Saccharomyces cerevisiae S288C: one gene and its partners. The protein of the gene in region 4 interacts with the protein of the main gene of each other region in a pairwise test. Each region holds a gene or a part of one and is shown on either strand. Other genes may lie near its edges.

What was found.
Region 1: the proteins of HCA4 (region 4) and RRP36 interact in binary tests that used the Saccharomyces cerevisiae proteins (3 or more experiments, as listed by UniProt).
Region 2: the proteins of HCA4 (region 4) and ENP2 interact in binary tests that used the Saccharomyces cerevisiae proteins (3 or more experiments, as listed by UniProt).
Region 3: the proteins of HCA4 (region 4) and ESF2 interact in binary tests that used the Saccharomyces cerevisiae proteins (3 or more experiments, as listed by UniProt).

What each region holds. Positions count from the first base shown.
Region 1 is NC_001147.6:849,226-854,210, reverse strand, and holds RRP36 (rRNA-processing protein RRP36), read left to right. Parts: upstream 1-2,371; coding exon 2,372-3,274; downstream 3,275-4,985. Other genes in the region: YOR289W (uncharacterized protein), read right to left, coding at 99-854; protein disulfide isomerase MPD1, read left to right, coding at 1,134-2,090; thiosulfate sulfurtransferase RDL2, read right to left, coding at 3,482-3,931; thiosulfate sulfurtransferase RDL1, read right to left, coding at 4,157-4,576.
Region 2 is NC_001139.9:778,818-785,445, forward strand, and holds ENP2 (ribosome biosynthesis protein ENP2), read left to right. Parts: upstream 1-2,949; coding exon 2,950-5,073; downstream 5,074-6,628. Other genes in the region: THI4 (thiamine thiazole synthase), read left to right, coding at 1,582-2,562; ECL1 (Ecl1p), read right to left, coding at 5,406-6,041; YGR146C-A (uncharacterized protein), read right to left, coding at 6,459-6,620. UniProt on the Saccharomyces cerevisiae protein: May be involved in rRNA-processing and ribosome biosynthesis.
Region 3 is NC_001146.8:721,637-727,044, reverse strand, and holds ESF2 (RNA-binding ATPase activator ESF2), read left to right. Parts: upstream 1-2,738; coding exon 2,739-3,689; downstream 3,690-5,408. Other genes in the region: putative GTPase NOG2, read left to right, coding at 3,933-4,742, 5,275-5,408. UniProt on the Saccharomyces cerevisiae protein: Involved in the small subunit (SSU) processome assembly and function, and in the 18S rRNA synthesis. Required for the early cleavages at sites A0, A1 and A2. Stimulates DBP8 RNA helicase ATPase activity.
Region 4 is NC_001142.9:382,214-386,649, reverse strand, and holds HCA4 (RNA-dependent ATPase HCA4), read right to left. Parts: upstream 2,814-4,436; coding exon 501-2,813; downstream 1-500. Other genes in the region: Rab geranylgeranyltransferase BET4, read left to right, coding at 1-282; Hsp70 family ATPase KAR2, read right to left, coding at 3,275-4,436. UniProt on the Saccharomyces cerevisiae protein: ATP-dependent RNA helicase required for ribosome biogenesis. Involved in the release of U14 snoRNA in pre-ribosomal complexes. Required for pre-rRNA cleavage at site A2.

The DNA of each region.
Region 1 (4,985 bases), on a different chromosome or scaffold from region 4:
TCGGTTCGATTCCGGTTGCGTCCAATTTTTAAGCTTGATCAATGTATAAAAGCATATTTTTTTTAATGTTTCTAAGACTAACTAACGAGGGTTATTTTCTAAGCCTCTATATCTTTTAACTGTTTGTTAAATTCCTCATAAGTTATGGAACTTTTTTTGCCCTCGTACCTTATTACTTCAATGAAATAAGTTTCAAAATTATCCATTACTTCACTAATATTGCCCCAGTAACCCGCCTTCTCGATTAAATTGGCAAAGGTATCTTCTTTATTCCAATGTTGCTCAGGCATAACATCAGGTAAAAAGGTTGCGCTACATGTGGTGCCTGTTTTGGGATGCTTAAAATACAGTTCAATACCGTGCTTTCCGAGTTCCCAATCGAAAATGTCCCCATTTGGATTACCACCACCTCGAAAAATAGTTTTGAAGTTGCCTAAGATGTTGCAACTGCATTTCAGGTCCACCAATTCCCTTTTCTGGATCGGAGAAAATCTCCTATCCTCTAAAGCAGCAATCAAGGAATATTTCTCAATACCATGTGCAATCGGCATCTTAGCAAATGTACCGATACATCCTCTAAGTATATAATTCTCTTCGTTAGTGTCTATTGTGTGATGTTTATTGGACTTTTTCTTCCAAGTTATGAACAACGAAGTTTTCTCATTGTAATCTATTTTAAAGTCGGGGTATAGCCTTCTTCTAATATCTTCTAAAGAAAGGCTGCTCGATTTCCCCGGATTCAAGTGCGAATAAAGTTGATAAAATGCGTAAAACGCAAATGGCGATGAACCTTTAGGGCCTTCCATTGATATCTTTGCAAAAAAACTGGATTTTCGAAATAGCCTTAAAGCCATTACTATCGCACAAGCCAAAAACCATCTTTTCAAAGGATCTTATCTGGATACAAATTGACGCAAATTTCTCTTTATATTCCTCCTTTGTCGCCCAGTGTCATGTGCTTATCCCTTGAAAAAAGGGCCGTTGTTCGAGCCTTGCGAGGCGTATAAAAATTTGGTAAAAATTAAAATTGACACGTAAAAGTTAAATAACATGAAGAGAAATATCTTTTCGCAGTCATTTTCAACAGTAAGCATCCACTTAACACAATTAGGAGAGACAAAATTTGACATATAATGTTATTTCTTAATATTATTAAGCTCCTTTTGGGACTTTTTATTATGAATGAAGTAAAGGCGCAAAACTTTTACGATTCCGATCCTCATATATCAGAGTTAACGCCAAAAAGCTTCGATAAAGCGATCCATAACACAAATTACACATCATTAGTGGAATTTTATGCTCCGTGGTGCGGCCATTGTAAGAAGCTCTCTAGTACGTTCCGCAAGGCAGCAAAAAGATTGGATGGTGTAGTCCAAGTTGCTGCTGTAAACTGTGACCTTAACAAGAATAAGGCTTTGTGTGCTAAATACGACGTAAACGGATTTCCCACGTTAATGGTATTTAGGCCCCCAAAAATTGACCTATCTAAGCCAATAGATAACGCCAAAAAAAGTTTCAGCGCTCATGCCAATGAAGTGTACTCAGGTGCAAGAACTCTCGCGCCTATTGTTGATTTTTCTCTTTCAAGAATAAGGTCATATGTCAAAAAGTTTGTCCGTATAGATACACTTGGCTCTTTACTTAGAAAGTCACCCAAACTTTCCGTGGTGTTGTTTTCCAAACAAGACAAAATTTCACCGGTTTATAAAAGCATTGCCCTTGATTGGTTAGGAAAGTTCGATTTTTATTCAATTTCAAACAAAAAACTCAAGCAACTAACCGATATGAACCCAACATATGAAAAAACTCCTGAGATTTTCAAATATTTGCAGAAGGTCATTCCTGAACAGCGACAGAGCGATAAAAGTAAGCTTGTCGTTTTTGATGCAGACAAAGATAAATTTTGGGAGTATGAAGGGAACTCAATCAACAAAAATGACATTTCCAAATTTCTGCGGGACACTTTTAGTATTACCCCCAATGAGGGTCCTTTTAGTAGACGTTCTGAATATATTGCTTACTTAAAAACTGGCAAGAAGCCAATTAAAAAGAACCATTCCTCCTCAGGAAACAAGCACGACGAATTGTAGTGGTACGTTTCCTCATTCAATGATTATCTAATTAAACACAACATATGTATCTATATAGTCCACTAACTGATGGCATGGACGTTTACTTTTATTTGCAATAATAACTTTTATCTGAGCGGTTAAATACCGAAAGACACGTTTATTACCCGCTTTGAAAATTTTCAACCGATGAGCTTGCCTTTCTACCGGAAAACTGGGGCATAAGAATAAGTACTAAATAGTATAATTAAATTGCCATCCAAAAATTGTATAGAGGGTCAATAAGCACTAGAAGGTTAAAAATGTCGTATTACTTTAAAAATCTGAAGCCAGACTTGAACTCCGACGTAGAAGAAGATGACGGAAACTTATTGGAGAGCATAATGGCGAACAAAAGTAAGCGAGAAATTGACGAACAAGAATCAAGTGACGATGAGTTGAAAACCTTGTCTTTTGGTTCTTTGAAGAAGGCTGAAACGGTAATAGATGAAGAAGATTTCAAAGATACGAAACCCGTTCACAAAAAACCGATCACAACTACATACAGAGAAGAAAGTTTTGATGAAGATGAGGACAGTGAGGACCAATCAGACGAGGATGCTGGATTCTTTGAAGAAGATAGTGAGGATGAAACTCATCATGGTCAGAAAGTACCAAAAAAGAAGAGCAAACACGCTCCAGTAGAACAATCATCCAAGAAAAGGGTACCACGAGTCCGAAATATCCCTGGGCTGGAAATACCGAGGAATAAAAGGTCTAACCTCTATCAGGACATCAGATTTGATAAGTCCACCGGTAAAGCCCTTGATAGTTCTATCATAAGAAAACGTTACCAGTTCTTGGACGAATATAGAGAAAAAGAAATTGATGAACTGCAGAAGCTGTTACAAGAAAGAAAATTTCTATCAAAAATAGACCAGGGAGAACGTGAAGAAATGGAACAAAGACTGAAAAGTATGAAATCGAGATTGCAATCAATGAAAAACAAAGATCTCGAGCGTGAAATTCTCAAGGAATACGAAAATGATATGAATAAAAACAATAATACGAGATACCATTTGAAAAAGTCTGAGAAACGTAAAGTGGTGCAAAAGTGGAAATTTGATCACATGAAGGCCAAGCAACGTGAAAAGGTCATGGAAAGGAAAAGGAAGAAGAGATTGGGTAAAGAGTTTAAACAATTTGAATTTCATAATCGTAGGTAGAGTATTTAAGCAAAAGAATGCACATTAAAGTAATATATAGAGAAAGATAAAAAAATAAACGCACACATAAACTAATGGAAGTAAGAGGTTATCCGCGAACCACAAGGAGAAAATCGAATGAATCGGAGAGGTGACAACAAAAAATTTGAAATACACAAAAGGTTGTCTATATACAGGATATATCGATTATACTTGTTTCTTTTTGGCTTATTTTTTGGGCTTAACGTCAGCACCACCTTTAGCTAACCACTCAGTAATAGAACCAGGATAGATACCAGTGTTTTCGTACCCATAAGATCGAGCCAACTCTTCGGCAGTTTTGGCTCTTACTCCTTTCGCACAAAGAAAAATCAATTCTTTATCGTGAGGTGGTTTAGCAAATTGGAAAACTTTGTGAAACTCCTTTTCGGGCAATCCAAGAGCGCCAGGGGCACTATTCACCGGAATATTTATTGTAGTTGGCATCTTGTAATCCTTTACTTCCTTGGGTTCCCTTACATCTACCAATAGTTTTTTATCATTGGGGTGTTCGACTAGGTTCCTGACCTGGTCAAAAGTATAGATCTTTGGAGCCTTCGTTGTAAATGTTCTCAGGACCAATGTAGGCGATCTTGCAGAAACTGTCCTCGAGAGAATACCTGTACTATGCTTGAACATCGTTGGTCTTTTTCTTCTGTCTCGCTTCCATTTGTTGAGAGTTATCGCTATCTTATTCCATTCAGATTAAGTTTTGTATTTTTTTTTTTATACTTCCTAATTTCTTTGCGCCGCCGCTATCACAGCCAATGCAATAGGCAAATATTATGAACGGTGTGACATAAATGGCATAATACGTTACTAGCTTACGAAAATACACAGGGTACATACCTAGAGTATACAAGGCTATAAGTCAAGTTTATCACCCCCATGAGAAACCCAATCATTCATAGAGCCAGGATATAGTGAGGTGTTTGAATATCCATGTGAGGAGGCGACTTTTTGAGCTTCTCCCCCGCGTTTGCCAGAAGCACAATAAAATATTAGCTCCTTGGCACTGTCAGGTTTTGGGATGCCAATCTGTTTCTCAAATTCTAAAGGATCTAAGGCAAATGCGTCAGGGTGCGATCTATATGGCACATTGATGGAAGCAGGAATATGAACAATCGAGTACTCAGATGGTTCTCTAACATCTACCAAAACCACATTAGGATCATGCTTTCCAACGATTCTTTTCATGTCTTCAAAACTGTAAGATTGAATATTTGAAACATTCTTACTTTGACTCTCGGTTCCATTCCAAGCATTCATCACGGCCTTCCACATTTTAATATCGTTTCTTAGTCACAAACCCTGAAAATAAACGAGAAAGAATTCTTTGATTGATTAAGCCTCCACTCTCTTTTATACACCTCAAAAATTCTCCCCTTACTTCCTTCCCCGCGGGTAATAATATTCTCCAAAAAAAATACAAAAGCAATCAGATGTAACTTATATAGGTTCCAAGATAAATAACAAATTATTTGTCATTGCAAGTAGGAAAAGGACATACCGTAGGTGATATCTGGATTTGGGCCTTATGGAAGCCAATCTTAGTAGTAATTCGTCCATATGTCTACCAAAGGGGATAACAAAAAAGTACAACTACAAATTTTTCACACAGTGTCCCGTTAATTTCATATACTCAATATGCTGCGTTTAATCAAGAAAAATTCTGATATTTTGCGACAGAAGG
Region 2 (6,628 bases), on a different chromosome or scaffold from region 4:
AGTATTCCTAATGTCAGTATATTGTCATATAAGGCGTTAGATGGTGACATAAGGTATGAAAAGTTGCCATCGAAGTTAGAGGAAGCTGAAATGCAAGCATTGATGTAATAGGATCAATGAATATTAACATATAAAACGATGATAATAATATTTATAGAATTGTGTAGAATTACAGATTCCCTTTTATGGATTCCTAAATCCTTGAGGAGAACTTCTAGTATATCTACATACCTAATATTATAGCCTTAATCACAATGGAATCCCAACAATTACATCAGAACCCACACTCTCTTCAATTATTATGTAGAAATTTCGATTCTATTTTGAGGATTCCTATACCCTCGAGTAGAAATTCTAGTATATCCTACATACCTAACATTATTGCTTTATCAATAATGGAATCCCAACAATTATTGTTACAGGCTACGATATTGCGTATAGAAAAAATGTTGAAAGTTCTTCTGCAAGATACAGGAATCCAAAGGGAATCAATATATCTACCTAATAGTATTATTATTTCTTTTCCATTTTATATGTTTCACTATCCTACTATTTCATCGATCCTCTTATTTAAGCTTTTATTAAACCTAATGACTGTTCTATAACTTTTATGTCCTCTTTTTACATCATAAATGATAATTAATATACTAGTGACATGAATACTAATCGATGGATGGTAGTTTGTTCTTATTCTATCAGGGAAATGCATCAGATAATGGATAAAATGGAAAGAATGGAAAGGAATTGTAACATGCCTATATATGGAAAACGAGCTTTTAGAGCTTTCAAGTTAACCCCGGGCGGTTAGTGTAGTGGTTATCATCCCACCCTTCCAAGGTGGGGACACGGGTTCGATTCTCGTACCGCTCAAGATTACTTTTTTAATTTTCATACTTTTTCTCCTAATATCTTGCAAATCATGACTGAATTGACATTAACTGATGCAAATGGGTGGGAAAAATGCTTATCAACCCCCTAAAAAGTCAACTTCTTCGTTAGTGATTGCTATATGTGGCGTCAAGAATTACAAGAAGCTGGCGAGCTTTCCAAGCCCCTTCAGGATTAACCGTTTTTTACCCTTTTTTTACAAATTTACGGCGGGGAATAATTCTGATACTTTCTCTTTATGAGCATTCCTCAACAGGGATCGGCACTCAATTGCTTTAGTGAATAGTTTTTTTTTACGCCAAGAACATTTACCACCCCATTTTCCTGTAGACGTCCAAAACGATACTCTACTTTAAGCCCTTTTTCTGAAGTTTTCATAAAATGTCCGATCTCCTAACGTCATTTTTAAAATCAAATGGTCTTTTAATAATTATGCACGTTAAAAAACATACATAATTGATAGTAAAGAATCTGGTATTCTATCAGTTACCAAGTTCAATCGTAAATTTTTTTACGAGCACTAATAGAAATGGATCATGAAATTGATTTTTTGATTTTCAATTTATGAACTACCCAGATATATAAATATTGGAATAAATTGTGTATTAAGTAGTCGGGAAATATCTTTTATGTTCTCTTTCTTATCATCTAGAAATAATAAATCACAACCAAAAAAATCAACTAACTATCAAAATGTCTGCTACCTCTACTGCTACTTCCACAAGTGCCTCTCAATTGCACTTAAACTCTACTCCAGTTACTCACTGCTTATCTGACATCGTTAAGAAAGAAGATTGGTCTGACTTTAAATTTGCTCCCATCCGCGAATCCACTGTCTCTCGTGCTATGACTTCTCGTTATTTCAAGGATCTTGACAAGTTTGCCGTTTCTGACGTGATTATTGTCGGTGCGGGCTCTTCAGGTTTATCCGCCGCTTACGTCATCGCCAAGAACAGACCAGACTTGAAGGTTTGTATTATCGAAAGTTCAGTTGCACCAGGTGGTGGTAGTTGGTTGGGTGGTCAATTATTTAGTGCCATGGTTATGAGAAAACCAGCTCATTTGTTCTTACAAGAGTTGGAAATCCCTTACGAAGACGAAGGTGACTATGTTGTCGTTAAGCATGCCGCTTTGTTCATCTCTACTGTCCTTTCAAAGGTCTTGCAATTACCAAATGTTAAACTGTTCAATGCTACCTGTGTTGAAGATTTGGTTACCAGACCACCTACCGAAAAGGGCGAAGTCACCGTTGCTGGTGTTGTCACCAACTGGACGTTAGTTACCCAAGCTCACGGTACTCAATGTTGCATGGACCCTAACGTAATTGAATTGGCAGGTTACAAAAATGACGGAACTCGTGACTTGAGTCAAAAGCATGGTGTCATTTTATCCACTACCGGTCATGATGGTCCATTTGGTGCTTTCTGCGCCAAGAGAATCGTCGACATTGATCAAAACCAAAAATTGGGCGGTATGAAGGGTCTGGACATGAACCATGCCGAACACGATGTCGTTATTCACTCTGGTGCATACGCCGGTGTTGACAACATGTACTTTGCTGGTATGGAAGTTGCTGAACTGGATGGATTAAACCGTATGGGTCCAACTTTTGGAGCTATGGCTTTGAGTGGTGTTCATGCTGCTGAGCAAATTTTGAAACACTTTGCTGCTTAGGCTTTTAATGAGGTATGCTTTTAAAGATTTATATATTTTTTATACACGCTATATACACAATTTTCGCTGATGATTTTGTTTTATTATTGATTTTTAAATTAACCGTAGAAAATACTAAGTGGAAAGATCCGATAGTGATGAGATAAGACTTTTAGTTATCTCTGTAATGGTGAGTTTTCGCACATCTTGCAATATTAAAAATATAAATCAATTCTTCAAATGTCACTTCATGGTCGGGTAACCAAATATGATCTTAAAAAAAATTAAGAAAAAAAAAAATTGAAAATTTTGAGCTAAGCTCATCTCATCTCATCGGCTGTAATCAGTAACACATCATTTATTACATCAGTTACAGGTATCAACATATATCTTCAAAAAGGGGACATTATGGTTTTGAAATCTACTTCCGCAAATGATGTTTCAGTATATCAGGTTTCTGGTACAAACGTTTCAAGATCACTTCCAGACTGGATTGCGAAAAAGCGCAAAAGGCAATTAAAGAATGATTTAGAATATCAAAATAGAGTAGAACTGATTCAAGATTTTGAATTTAGCGAAGCCTCCAATAAGATTAAAGTGAGTAGAGATGGGCAATATTGCATGGCTACCGGTACATACAAACCTCAGATCCATGTCTACGATTTTGCTAATTTGTCACTGAAGTTCGATAGACACACAGATGCTGAAAACGTGGATTTCACTATTCTCTCTGACGATTGGACTAAAAGTGTACATTTACAAAATGATAGAAGTATTCAATTCCAAAACAAAGGTGGTCTACATTACACCACAAGAATTCCTAAATTTGGGAGAAGTTTAGTTTACAATAAGGTAAACTGTGATTTATATGTTGGTGCGAGCGGTAATGAGTTATACAGGTTGAACTTGGAAAAGGGGAGATTTTTAAACCCATTCAAGTTGGATACTGAAGGCGTGAACCATGTTTCTATCAATGAAGTAAATGGGTTGTTAGCGGCAGGCACGGAAACAAATGTAGTGGAATTCTGGGATCCAAGGTCGCGTTCCCGTGTTTCAAAGCTATATTTAGAGAACAATATTGACAACAGACCATTCCAAGTCACCACAACCAGTTTCCGTAATGACGGGTTAACTTTTGCATGTGGTACGTCGAACGGTTATTCATACATTTATGACTTGCGTACTTCTGAACCTTCCATTATTAAAGACCAAGGTTATGGGTTTGACATTAAGAAAATTATTTGGTTGGATAACGTCGGCACGGAAAATAAAATTGTTACATGTGACAAGAGAATTGCAAAAATATGGGATAGACTAGATGGTAAGGCATACGCTTCTATGGAGCCTAGTGTTGATATTAACGACATTGAGCATGTACCAGGTACAGGTATGTTTTTCACCGCTAACGAAAGTATTCCCATGCATACATATTATATTCCAAGTTTAGGACCATCTCCACGCTGGTGCTCATTCTTGGATTCTATCACAGAAGAATTAGAAGAAAAACCAAGTGACACTGTTTACTCTAACTACAGGTTCATTACTAGAGACGACGTTAAAAAATTGAATTTAACGCACTTGGTGGGATCCAGAGTATTAAGAGCATACATGCATGGTTTCTTTATTAACACTGAACTTTACGATAAGGTTTCATTAATTGCTAATCCAGATGCCTACAAAGATGAAAGAGAAAGAGAAATTAGACGTAGAATTGAGAAAGAAAGAGAATCCAGAATCAGAAGTTCAGGGGCTGTTCAAAAACCTAAAATTAAAGTCAATAAAACATTGGTTGATAAACTATCTCAAAAACGTGGTGATAAAGTTGCAGGAAAGGTTCTTACGGATGACCGTTTCAAAGAAATGTTTGAGGATGAAGAATTTCAAGTCGATGAAGATGACTATGATTTCAAACAATTGAATCCAGTAAAATCCATCAAAGAAACCGAAGAAGGTGCTGCTAAACGTATTAGGGCGCTAACTGCTGCCGAAGAGTCCGACGAAGAAAGAATTGCAATGAAGGATGGCAGAGGTCACTATGACTACGAGGATGAAGAGTCTGATGAAGAAGAATCTGATGATGAAACGAACCAAAAGTCAAATAAGGAAGAATTAAGTGAAAAAGATTTGAGAAAGATGGAAAAGCAAAAGGCACTAATTGAACGCAGAAAGAAGGAAAAGGAGCAAAGCGAACGTTTTATGAACGAAATGAAAGCCGGCACTTCCACGAGTACGCAAAGAGACGAAAGTGCTCACGTTACATTTGGCGAACAAGTAGGCGAATTGCTTGAGGTGGAAAATGGAAAGAAATCAAATGAATCCATTTTACGTCGTAACCAACGCGGTGAAGCAGAACTTACTTTTATTCCTCAAAGAAAAAGCAAAAAAGACGGAAATTATAAATCCAGGCGTCATGATAATTCATCGGATGAAGAAGGTATTGACGAAAATGGTAATAAGAAGGACAATGGTAGGTCGAAGCCCAGATTCGAAAATAGAAGAAGAGCTAGCAAAAATGCGTTCCGTGGTATGTAGTTATATTAGAAATTGATATTTTAATTATCCTTTCACCTTAAACTAAAAATATTATATGTATGAAGACGAAGACAGCAAAAAGTATGCGTGATACAGTTTACATTATAGAATTCTTTCCCCAAATATTGAGGGTTTTGTTTTTTTTTTTTAATGCAGATGTACGTACATATTTTCTTTATCAAAAGGATGTGTAGAGAACTATGTATATATGTATATGTGTAGGTTTTTTTTTTTTAGGATGACTAGAAAAGGAAATCGAAAAAGAAAAAATAAGCATGAATCATGAGTAGGTTAAAGGCAAGTCGAAGAAGATACGAAGCAAGTGAAGCCGTTTAACTGGAGGATAGTCTAAACCATAGGTTGTAGTTATTCTCAATGATCTGATCTGAGATCAAATGATCATCAATTAGATCGTTTGATCGTGGCAAGTTGTTTTCGTAACCCAAATGTGCCTTTGAATGCAATTGGTAACTAGAATCGAGTCTAAGAGAGTCGGCTAAGTTCAAATAATGTTCATTTTCATCATATTCGTCAACACGAGAAGGATTAGACTCCTGCTTAGGATTGACTATACCATCCTGAGGTAGCAGCAATGGTGAAATTAATAAGGACTCTAGCTTCTCCAACTCGTCAAAGGGGATAGTTGAAGATGTCGGAGATGAAGATAGTGAGGTAGTCGGCTCGAAGAGGTTTGATGCAGTTAAATTTTTAGAATATGAAAGCGGTGGAGTGAGATTATGCGAATGAGAAGTTTTTGATTTTTTATGCAAGTGGGATAATAATTTCTCATTAAGAGGGTTCGAATCCTTCAGCTTACAATCTTCGGAGCAATATAACTTATTTGATTGTAAACTGCTCTTGGTTTCATTGTCCCTTTGGATCTTCCTGGTATTAATGTTCGTTTTCTGTGGAGATGTTGGAATGAGACGATCACAAACAGTGCAGTAATCGTTGAATGCGGTGCTCATTATATGATTGATATGCAAATCGGTAAAGAATACCTGAAAGGAGTGGAGGGATAAGAATAAAGTAATTATTCTCGAGCTTTTTTTATAAGGAAAAAAAGGAGAATCGGTAGCGGAGTATTGTTTCTCTATTCTTTCTTTGCTTACTCTGTTTTATAATTCTCACAAGTGTTCAATTTTTAACTTCTTGGGACAACACTATAGTTCTAAGTTCTTTAGACAGTTCAAAGACAGTTTACTCAATGGCGATGGCCTGTGTCAATGATTATATTGTATATATATATGTGTCCAAGTATGGATGTGAATGTATCTAAATTTTCCGAAATGCAAGAAATAAAATTCTCACAATTGGGGTGTTGAAACGGAAAAGATCGGTATTCCTTTAAATATAAGAATCACCACGTTTCAGGTCTCCAAGTTCTAGCTAAAGATCGTACAAACAAGTGCCAATTTGGGAAAAAAGGGCGGCCTAATTGTGAAAAAAAAAGATGCCCAACTGAAAGAAGGGCAATGAGCAATAGGGAATGTAAACGAATGCAATAAGAAAGCACACGTTAAATTACACTCAGGGAGGAACCCCATAATAAAAA
Region 3 (5,408 bases), on a different chromosome or scaffold from region 4:
GCTCAATATGTATATTTCTCAATGGTTCATCTAGGTAAGCAAGGCCTTGAATAATATACTTAATCTTGTCTGTTTCGCAACAATTGCTGAGTACAATAATGTTGGAATAAAAATCAACTATCATCTACTAACTAGTATTTACGTTACTAGTATATTATCATATACGGTGTTAGAAGATGACGCAAATGATGAGAAATAGTCATCTAAATTAGTGGAAGCTGAAACGCAAGGATTGATAATGTAATAGGATCAATGAATATTAACATATAAAATGATGATAATAATATTTATAGAATTGTGTAGAATTGCAGATTCCCTTTTATGGATTCCTAAATCCTCGAGGAGAACTTCTAGTATATCTACATACCTAATATTATAGCCTTAATCACAATGGAATCCCAACAATTATCTCAAAACTCACCCACTCTTCAAATAATGATGTGGTATACTACCTGAAATACGATAAAAAGTGTTGTATTACGGGCTCGAGTAATACCGGAGTGTCTTGACAATCCTAATATAAACAGTCTTAGGGAAGTAACCAGTTGTCAAAACAGTTTATCAGATTAATTCACGGAATGTTACTTATCTTATATATTATATAAAATATGAATCATGCTAAGTGGTGGAAGCGCGGAATCTCGGATCTAAACTAATTGTTCAGGCATTTATACTTTTGGGTAGTTCAGCTAGGGAAGGACGGGTTTTGTCTCATGTTGTTCGTTTTGTTATAAGGTTGTTTCATATGTGTTTTATGAACGTTTAGGATCTCAAAATGTCATACTGACGTATCTCATTTTGAGATACAACAAAAAGTATAAATCTTTGGAGGGTTGGCCGAGTGGTCTAAGGCGGCAGACTTAAGATCTGTTGGACGGTTGTCCGCGCGAGTTCGAACCTCGCATCCTTCAGTATTTTTTTTTATTTTGTCGGGGCCACCAGATCTTTAATGGCAAGACAAAGCGTTTTCAGATACATGAAATACATTGAAGCTATCTTTTTGAAGAAGAATACCTGCGTAGTGTTCTATGATTGTTCAAATAATATTTTAAAATGGTATTTTACTACTGTGTACATTTTATATGCTTAAATAAAAAAGAAAGTAGAGCACCCAATGTACGTGTGGTAAGGAAATAAATGTTCATAATTTTCATTAATGCATCAAACGGGATAAATGTTTTGGAAGAACGCAAATTTTGAAAATAGATTCCATTGGCTCTTGATAGTTGCTTTACGTATATTTTGTTTAGCCTTCTTTCCCTCATATAAGTATGCAGCTCTTCATTTTCCAAACCAGGATGAGATATGGATATATAGTTTCCCACTGAATCTTTGTGTCAATGCTACGCCCATCTTCTGCACGTCAGAACAGAATAACTACCTTGAGAAGAAAAAAAAAATACAAATGGTGGTTACTTGATAATGAATATGCTCTAATTGAAAAGAAATCTCCCTAGATATGATACCGCCCTCGACGACCCGATCTTTGGTATTTGGTAGGACTGTATCATCTTATTCCTCACATCATAGCAATTTTGTTCGTCATAATGTTCCTTTAGTTCTCAGAGTCATATGAATTCTATTTCCATAGAATTTTCCATTTTGAGCAATACGGGGAGTCGCTACCTCGATTCTAAGTTATGCTGCATTGACTTTATTGTGTGATATACATATCGATGTACTAGAAAGGGTTTGGTTTGGCCAAGTTTTTTATTATGAGGGTGCATTTTTTCTGTTTTAACACATTTCTCATGATCCTAATAGAAGGTTGAGTAGAGATGTACATAATATTTTGCGGAAAGTTTCGACACGTTCATTAGGTTCTAAAAAATTATTATTTTTCATAAGCTATTGAGATCTTATCACCTTGCTCTGTAATTCTAAAGTTGTTCTAAAACCGCAATTAATGTTTCAATTTTGGCGCTATTAATAATGATGGATACTCAACGAGGCGTACCAGTAGCATTTTGCCATCTTAACACATTAGCAAACGTTGCTATTATTGATCCTTCCATAAGTAATTTCACACATCCATTTTCGTCCCTAAGATAAAACAAAGTCTCACAATTCGTATATTGATATTTCAAACCCCAAAGCCTGTAGCCTTTTGATTATGACCGACTTCCCAGACGTGGCCATATTGATAAAGGTGCTTTCTGATCAAAGTTAGTATTAAAGAAAGGGTAAAATTCGTAATATCGTAATATTGTAATATGAACCAAAAACGTTCACAATGTGTAGGATGCACTACCAAATAGGTTGCGTTGTAGTACTCATCTCTCGGTTGCGCGACTAGAAAGTTACTAGAAAACTCCGGAATTCCTTATAATATACTGCAATAATGCACATGTATCTTTTCAGTGCAAATTAATTATAGGAACAAACAGATAGCGACAATTCTTTAAGGGCTGCTGGATTGACAACCCCTTCATCGACCATATTTGATTAGCCAGCCACCAAATAGCGTTTCAATTGACAAACTACATTATCTCGTGAAGAATATTTAAACGGTGATATTGGGTCTGTCTGATCACATTTCCAAAGGCAATGACGTGTAAATTTTTTCTTTCTCTTGTTTTATTATTTTGAATTACTTCGTTATAGCCAGCTTTTCTCACATTGCGCAGTAAAACTTTCGCTATTAAGATTTTGAAAAATTTCAACCTGACAAACTACCCATTGCTATGTAAGTACAAAGCAAACAGTTTACTGCAGCAGAGTGAAGTAAATTTTTACGCATGAGTGAAAAAGTAAATAGTGACTTTGAAGACTTTTCCTCAGATGAGGAAACCGATCAACATAACGTCTTAATTCAGACCAAGAAAAAAATTTCTAGTAAGGATGATATCTTCAGTAAGAAGGTAGAAGACATCGAAAGTGAAAACGAGTCAGACATAGAAGAAGAGCAAAAACAAGAAGAAAAAGAGGATGTAGAACAACCAGATAAAGAGAATGGAGAAAAGCTCGATCGAGAAGTAGAAGAACAAGCTTCGTCCACCACTTCACTGGATTTAAAAACAGAAAAACTAAGGCAACTGGTAAAATCAAAGGCCGCCAAGAAGTCTAAACACAAGACTGGGGTGGTATACTTCTCCAGTATTCCACCTTACATGAAACCTGCAAAAATGAGACAAATATTAACTCGTTTTGGTGAGGTAGATAGACTATTTCTAAAGAAAGAGGACGATCAAAAGTACAAGCAAAGAGTTAAAGGTGGAGGAAACAAGAAAAACAAGTATGAAGAAGGTTGGGCCGAGTTTATTAGGAAAAGAGACGCCAAATTGTGTGCGGAGACGTTGAACGGGAACATTATTGGTGGCAAGAAAGGTACTTTCTACCATGATGATATCCTGAACGTGAAGTACCTCCCAGGTTTCAAATGGGCAGATTTGACTGAACAGATTGCCCGCGAGAACGATATCAGACAGGCCAAGTTGGAGATGGAAATCTCGCAGGCCAACAAACTGAACGCGGAATTCATTAGAAACGTGGAGCAAAGTAAGATGATACAAAACATTAAGAACTCTAGGAAGCGCGCCGGAAAAGAAGGAGAGTCTGCAGATTCTCACCCTCACAGGGAATTTAAACAACGTCGTGTGGAAACAAGCCGTGCCAATGCTCCCTCTGATATCAAGCAGCAATCCTCTGGGTCCAAAGACTTGGGTAATGTTCTCACCAATTTACTATAATATAGAATCAATAACAAATATATAAACACAACCTGTCATTTAGCACGTTTTTTTGCCCGATGCTCATCGCAAAAATTTTTCGCTTGAAGAAAAATTTTTCACTTTTCTTCTTTTTGGGCATATAAAGAAGCGTAGAATATATAAAAGATATTTACTACTTGTTAGTACTTTCCCTTAAGTGTTAACTTTGAAGATCTGTTGACTTGCAGCAAAACCACTAAATATCAGGGGAGGAATAATACAATGGGTACTGGTAAGAAAGAGAAATCTAGACGTATTCGTGAAGGTGACACCAAAGATGGTAATCTTCGTGTGAAGGGTGAAAATTTCTACAGAGACTCCAAGAGAGTCAAATTCCTGAATATGTACACTAGTGGGAAGGAGATCAGGAATAAGAAAGGTAATTTAATTAGGGCCGCTTCTTTCCAGGACTCCACAATACCGGATGCGAGGGTCCAACCAGATCGTCGTTGGTTCGGTAACACAAGAGTGATATCTCAGGACGCACTGCAGCATTTCAGAAGTGCATTGGGTGAAACCCAAAAAGATACATATCAAGTTCTTCTGAGAAGAAATAAGCTTCCCATGTCATTGTTGGAAGAAAAGGACGCAGATGAATCCCCAAAAGCCAGAATTTTGGATACCGAAAGTTATGCTGATGCGTTTGGGCCCAAAGCCCAAAGAAAGAGACCACGTCTTGCTGCATCCAATCTAGAGGACTTGGTCAAGGCTACAAATGAAGACATTACCAAGTATGAGGAAAAGCAAGTCTTAGATGCCACATTAGGACTAATGGGGAACCAGGAAGACAAAGAAAATGGGTGGACCTCCGCAGCAAAAGAAGCTATTTTCAGTAAGGGTCAATCCAAACGTATTTGGAACGAATTATATAAAGTCATCGATTCGTCTGACGTGGTAATACATGTTCTAGATGCAAGGGATCCATTGGGTACCCGTTGTAAGTCCGTGGAAGAGTATATGAAGAAGGAAACACCACACAAGCATTTAATTTATGTTCTTAATAAGTGTGATTTGGTACCTACCTGGGTTGCAGTATGTTAACTTTTTTTTTTTTTTTTTTGATTCTTTCCAACCAAGAGGATAGCACGAGAGATTTTTTTTTTCGATAGAGTATGATTTTTATTACCAAACCTTTTTGTCAGGGTGCTTCTCTATCCGTTTTAGGATAAACTTATCTACAGAAGTGTCTGTTACTGTTTTGGAAGAGTAATACTGTTCGCTTATCCATATTTCCCCGTTCTGGGGAAGCCTCATGGGTAAATTAGAAGGACAACCTTTGTTTTAAAGGTATACCTTCGCTTTTTAGAACAGCGAGGATCTTATGAGTTGAGCTTTTGTTATTTGAGACTTTATCTCGGGCTCCATACAATATGTTCGTAGTAAAGATCCTCACAATTTTCTACTTTTTTTTTTTTTTTAGTTTAATCCACTCTTCGAAACAATCAATCTCGGCTATAACAATGATTATTACATTCTCTTGGGGCAAAAGATTACCTATTATGAAACAAAATGTATTTTTTACTAACAGAAGGTTTTTTTTTTTCAATTCTAACTTTACAAGTAGGCAGCTTGGGTCAAACATTTGTCAAAGGAACGTCCAACTTTGGCGTTTCACGCATCTATTACCAACTCTTTCGGTAAAGGTTCGTTAATTCAGTTGCTACGTCAGTTCTCACAGTTGCATACTGATAGAAAGCA
Region 4 (4,436 bases):
TTCATTAAAAACGACATTGTTTGTAAAACTCTGGACGAACAAGAGTACCTTAAAATGTTGAAAGACTTGAGAGAAAACATTCTGTTAATAAATAATGACGAAATTGAATTTTCCGGGAAGCAAAATATTTGGTGCTTGAAAATTTTATTAGTTCTCGAAGATATTCTGGAAGAAAAGGAAGCTCTAACGGAAAGAAGCTCGGAACAATATTTGGTCCAATTAATAGATGCGGATCCGTTAAGAAAGAATAGATACCTACATCTCCTGGAGCAGCATAAGTGATGATATACATATATAAACATATATATATATGTATATATGATGGAAGCCTGTTCACTATAAGCGGGATTTCATTTGACACCTTCAATGCACGAAAGTATATGCATATTTTTCTTTTATTGTAATATTACCGATGATTTGAACAAAGAAATAAGTATATTAGTGTAGAGAATAGATGTATACAAGTTCTAAATACTATAGGTTAGACTATGCAGGAGGGTTTAACCCTGGATTAATTTAGCTGTCAAAGATTCCAAATCCTCCAAAGTTTGTGGTTCTTCCACTTCAATAATGTCATCATCAACTGAATTGGATGGATTGTGGCCGTGGGAATAGTCAACAGTTCTAGCTTTCTTTTTCAAGTGGCCTTCCGAGTCAGGCATATCACCGTCGCTCATATCATCGCTCAAGTTTCCTGTTCCTAAATATGCTACTGTCTTCCCTTCTTCTTCATCTCCAGAAATTTCTTCTTCCATAGCAGCCTCCATTTCCCTTCTCATGGCTTCTAGTCTTTTTCTCTTCTTCTCTTGTTTTTTTTCTTTAGCCACCTGCTTATCAATATTGTCAATGTCTGCCATTACTGCAGATTCTTTAGTTAAAAATTCTGTCTTTTGTACCTCCGCATCACCTCTCTTATGAAATTCTTCTTCATCTTCAAGTTCATAAACTGGATGGGCTTCGCCTTCATCATCAAATATTAATTTGCTAGCGTTACCCTTGGAGGCCAGAGATGCCTTCTTTGAAAGCGCTTTCTTCTGTGCTCGCCTTGAAGTTGGAAGAGTTAGAGCTGGTAACTCAGCTTCATTTATTTCATGATCTTTACGCTTGACAGAAATGAAATCGTCATCCTCGTCTTCTTGTGCTTGAGCCTTCGTTATATTCAAATAGTGTTCACTTAAGATGGTTTGATTTTTACGTTCAAACATTTTATCATATTTTGTTCTTGGTTGTTTCGACTTATCTTCAATTACTTCACCATCTTCATTTGCTTTTGATAAGAAAGCTAGCTGTCTTGGAGCATTCTTTCTTTCTTTGGCCTGCTCAATGGTCTTCATACCCTTCATTTTGATTTTTGGGGCCCCTGGTAAACCAAGAGAATAAGCGAATTCTTCTGTTGGTAACTCATCGAATTTGAAAACTTGTTTGTCCTTTTGCACATATATAGATCTCACGTACGATATAAAAGCCTTTTGTCCTAGATATTTTAGTTCTGGATCCTTGAATAATAATGACTGCAATTGTGGTTTAATGGATTTCTTTTTTGACTGTTTTATATTAAGTTTGCCTGGTTCGATCTTTCTAGCGTTAAGTCTTTTTAGGAACGCTTCCTGCTCTTGTGGAGTCAACATGATTAAAGATTTACCCTTTTTACCGTAACGAGCACATCTACCGACTCTGTGGATATATGTATCAACGTCCTCTGGACAATCCACTTGAACAACCCAATCGACTGCAGGAAAGTCAATACCTCTAGCAACGACATCGGTAGCAAAAAGACACACCTGTTGAGCACGATTGAATTTGTCCAAAGTTTCTGTCCTAGCACGTTGTTTCTGTCTACCGTGTAAATGCATTAAAGAAATACCAGGCTGCATCTTCCTAAATGTCTCATAGACAAAATGCACTTGTTTGGAACTTGATAAGAAAACGATCATTTTGCATTTTAAATGTGATTTTATAAAACTGAAAAGGATATCCAATTTATCTGCCAAAGGAACTTCAATGTAGAATTGTTGCAAAGTTTCTGGAGTAGATGCTTCTTTGTTAACCGACCCATCCATCACATCATGTGTACCAACGGTTTTATAATCTGTCAAGGAAAGCCTAGCCAAGTCTGCAACAGATTGTGATTGAGTCGCTGAAAATAAAAGTGTTTGTCTAGATGGTGACAATGTGCTTACGATGGCATCCAGAGTTTTTTTAAACCCCATGTCTAAACATCTATCAGCTTCGTCAAGAACAAGCATCTGCAAATTGGAAGTATTTAGACCTACGGCTTGATCTAAATGTTGTAAAATACGACCAGGTGTACCGATAAGAATGTTAATCCTTGATATCCTTTCTAGTTCGAATTTAACATCTTTACCACCGATAACTAACCCAGCTGAAAATGAAGTGTGACTACCTATTTTCGTCAAAACCTCATATATTTGCATAGCCAACTCTCTTGTTGGAGATATGATAAGGGCACCTAACCCATCGAATTCGGTCCATTTTTCGCGGTATAGCTTTTCAATTACTGGAACTAAAAATGCTAATGTCTTACCGGAACCTGTCTTTGCGGCCGCCAATACATCATGACCTTGCAGGGACACGGGAATAGAATCGGCTTGGATCTCAGTAAGTTTTATAAAGGATGATTCTCTTAAACCTTTTAATGTGGGATCGCTAATGGGGAGATCTTTGAAAAACTTGGCCTTGGTTATCTTAGGGTCATACTCATCAATTTTGGTTTTCAAGTTTTCGATGTACTCATCTTCCTTTTGACGTAAAGTCTTTCTTTGAGTTGTGTTCAATCTATTTTTTTTGGCCATTTCAGTATTAGGTTCTCGAGCCTTTCAACTCTCTCTGTTATAATGTTTTAGCAAAATATTTCAATAGTGATGGGATGAGATGAGATGAGATGAGCTTAAGCACTTTTTTTTCAGTGAAAAATTTTCGGAACGGGAAATAAAGCATTATCAGGGTAAGAAAAAATTGCATTTGCGCAATAGAGCTAAGTAATACGCAAAATTAGCATATTGATGACACTGTTACTGAGTACCTTAACCCCAGTCTCTATACTCTTCAATGAAATTTCTATATCTTTCTAATTTTATAACATATAATGCATATATTTACGTATATACTCAGTATAATCTCCTCGAAAATTGTATGAAGCTCGAAGTTTGAATTAGCTATGCATGTATTTTTAGAAGAAATGTAGATATTCTATGCAAGTCAATAAATTAACAACCTTGAAGCTTCCAGCAGCAAAAATTTTTAACTATTTTATCTACAATTCGTCGTGTTCGAAATAATCACCATCGTCATCTTCATCTTCGTCGTCATAATCAGCGGCACCAGAACCATCAGCACCTCCGTACAACTTAGAAGTAATTGGATAAGCGACCTTGGACAAAGATTCGAACTTTTCATCAAAGTCTTCAGCAATGGCGGTTTCAAAGTTATCATCTAACCATTCTAAAACATCGTTAGCAGCATCTAATAAGGTTTCCTTGTCTTCTTCTTCCAATTTTTCACCTAGGTCACCATTAACTTGGTTTTTCAAAGAGTGAGCGTAGTTTTCTAATTTGTTTCTAGATTCAACCTTGGCCTTGATAGAAGCGTCTTCAGAAGCGAATTTTTCAGCCTCTTCAACCATTCTATCAATCTCTTCTTGGGTTAATCTACCTTTATCGTTAGTGATGGTGATAGATTCGGATTTACCAGTTCCCTTATCTGTGGCAGACACCTTCAGAATACCATTAGCGTCAAGTGCAAATGTGACTTCAATTTGAGGTACACCTCTTGGTGCTGGTGGAATGCCGGTTAATTCAAACTTACCTAATAGATTGTTGTCCTTAGACATGGCTCTTTCACCCTCGTATACCTTGATCATAACGGTTGGTTGGTTGTCAACGGCAGTAGAGAAAATTTGGGATTTCTTTGTAGGAATAGCAGTATTTCTCTTAATTAATGGAGTCATGACACCACCAGTGGTTTCAATACCAAGAGTCAAAGCGTTGACATCCAATAAAACAATATCTTCGACACCTTCTTCACCGGATAAGACACCAGCTTGAACGGCTGCACCGTATGCAACAGCTTCATCTGGGTTAATACCCTTGGAGGCCTTCTTACCATCAAAGTATGATTCTAACAATTGTTGGACCTTTGGAATTCTAGTAGAACCACCAACCAAAACGATATCATCAACATCCTTCTTTTCCAAACCAGAATCTTGCAAAACCTTCTCGACAGGCTTCAAGGTCTTCTTGAATAGATCTAGGTTTAATTCCTCAAACTTAGCTCTGGTCAAGGTTTCACTTAAGTCGATACCATCAACGAAGGAGTCAATTTCAATACGGGTGGACATTTGGCTGGACAAGGCACGTTTAGCCTTTTCAGCTTCTCTCTTCAATTTAGCTAGGGCCTTGTTGTTGTCAGACACATCA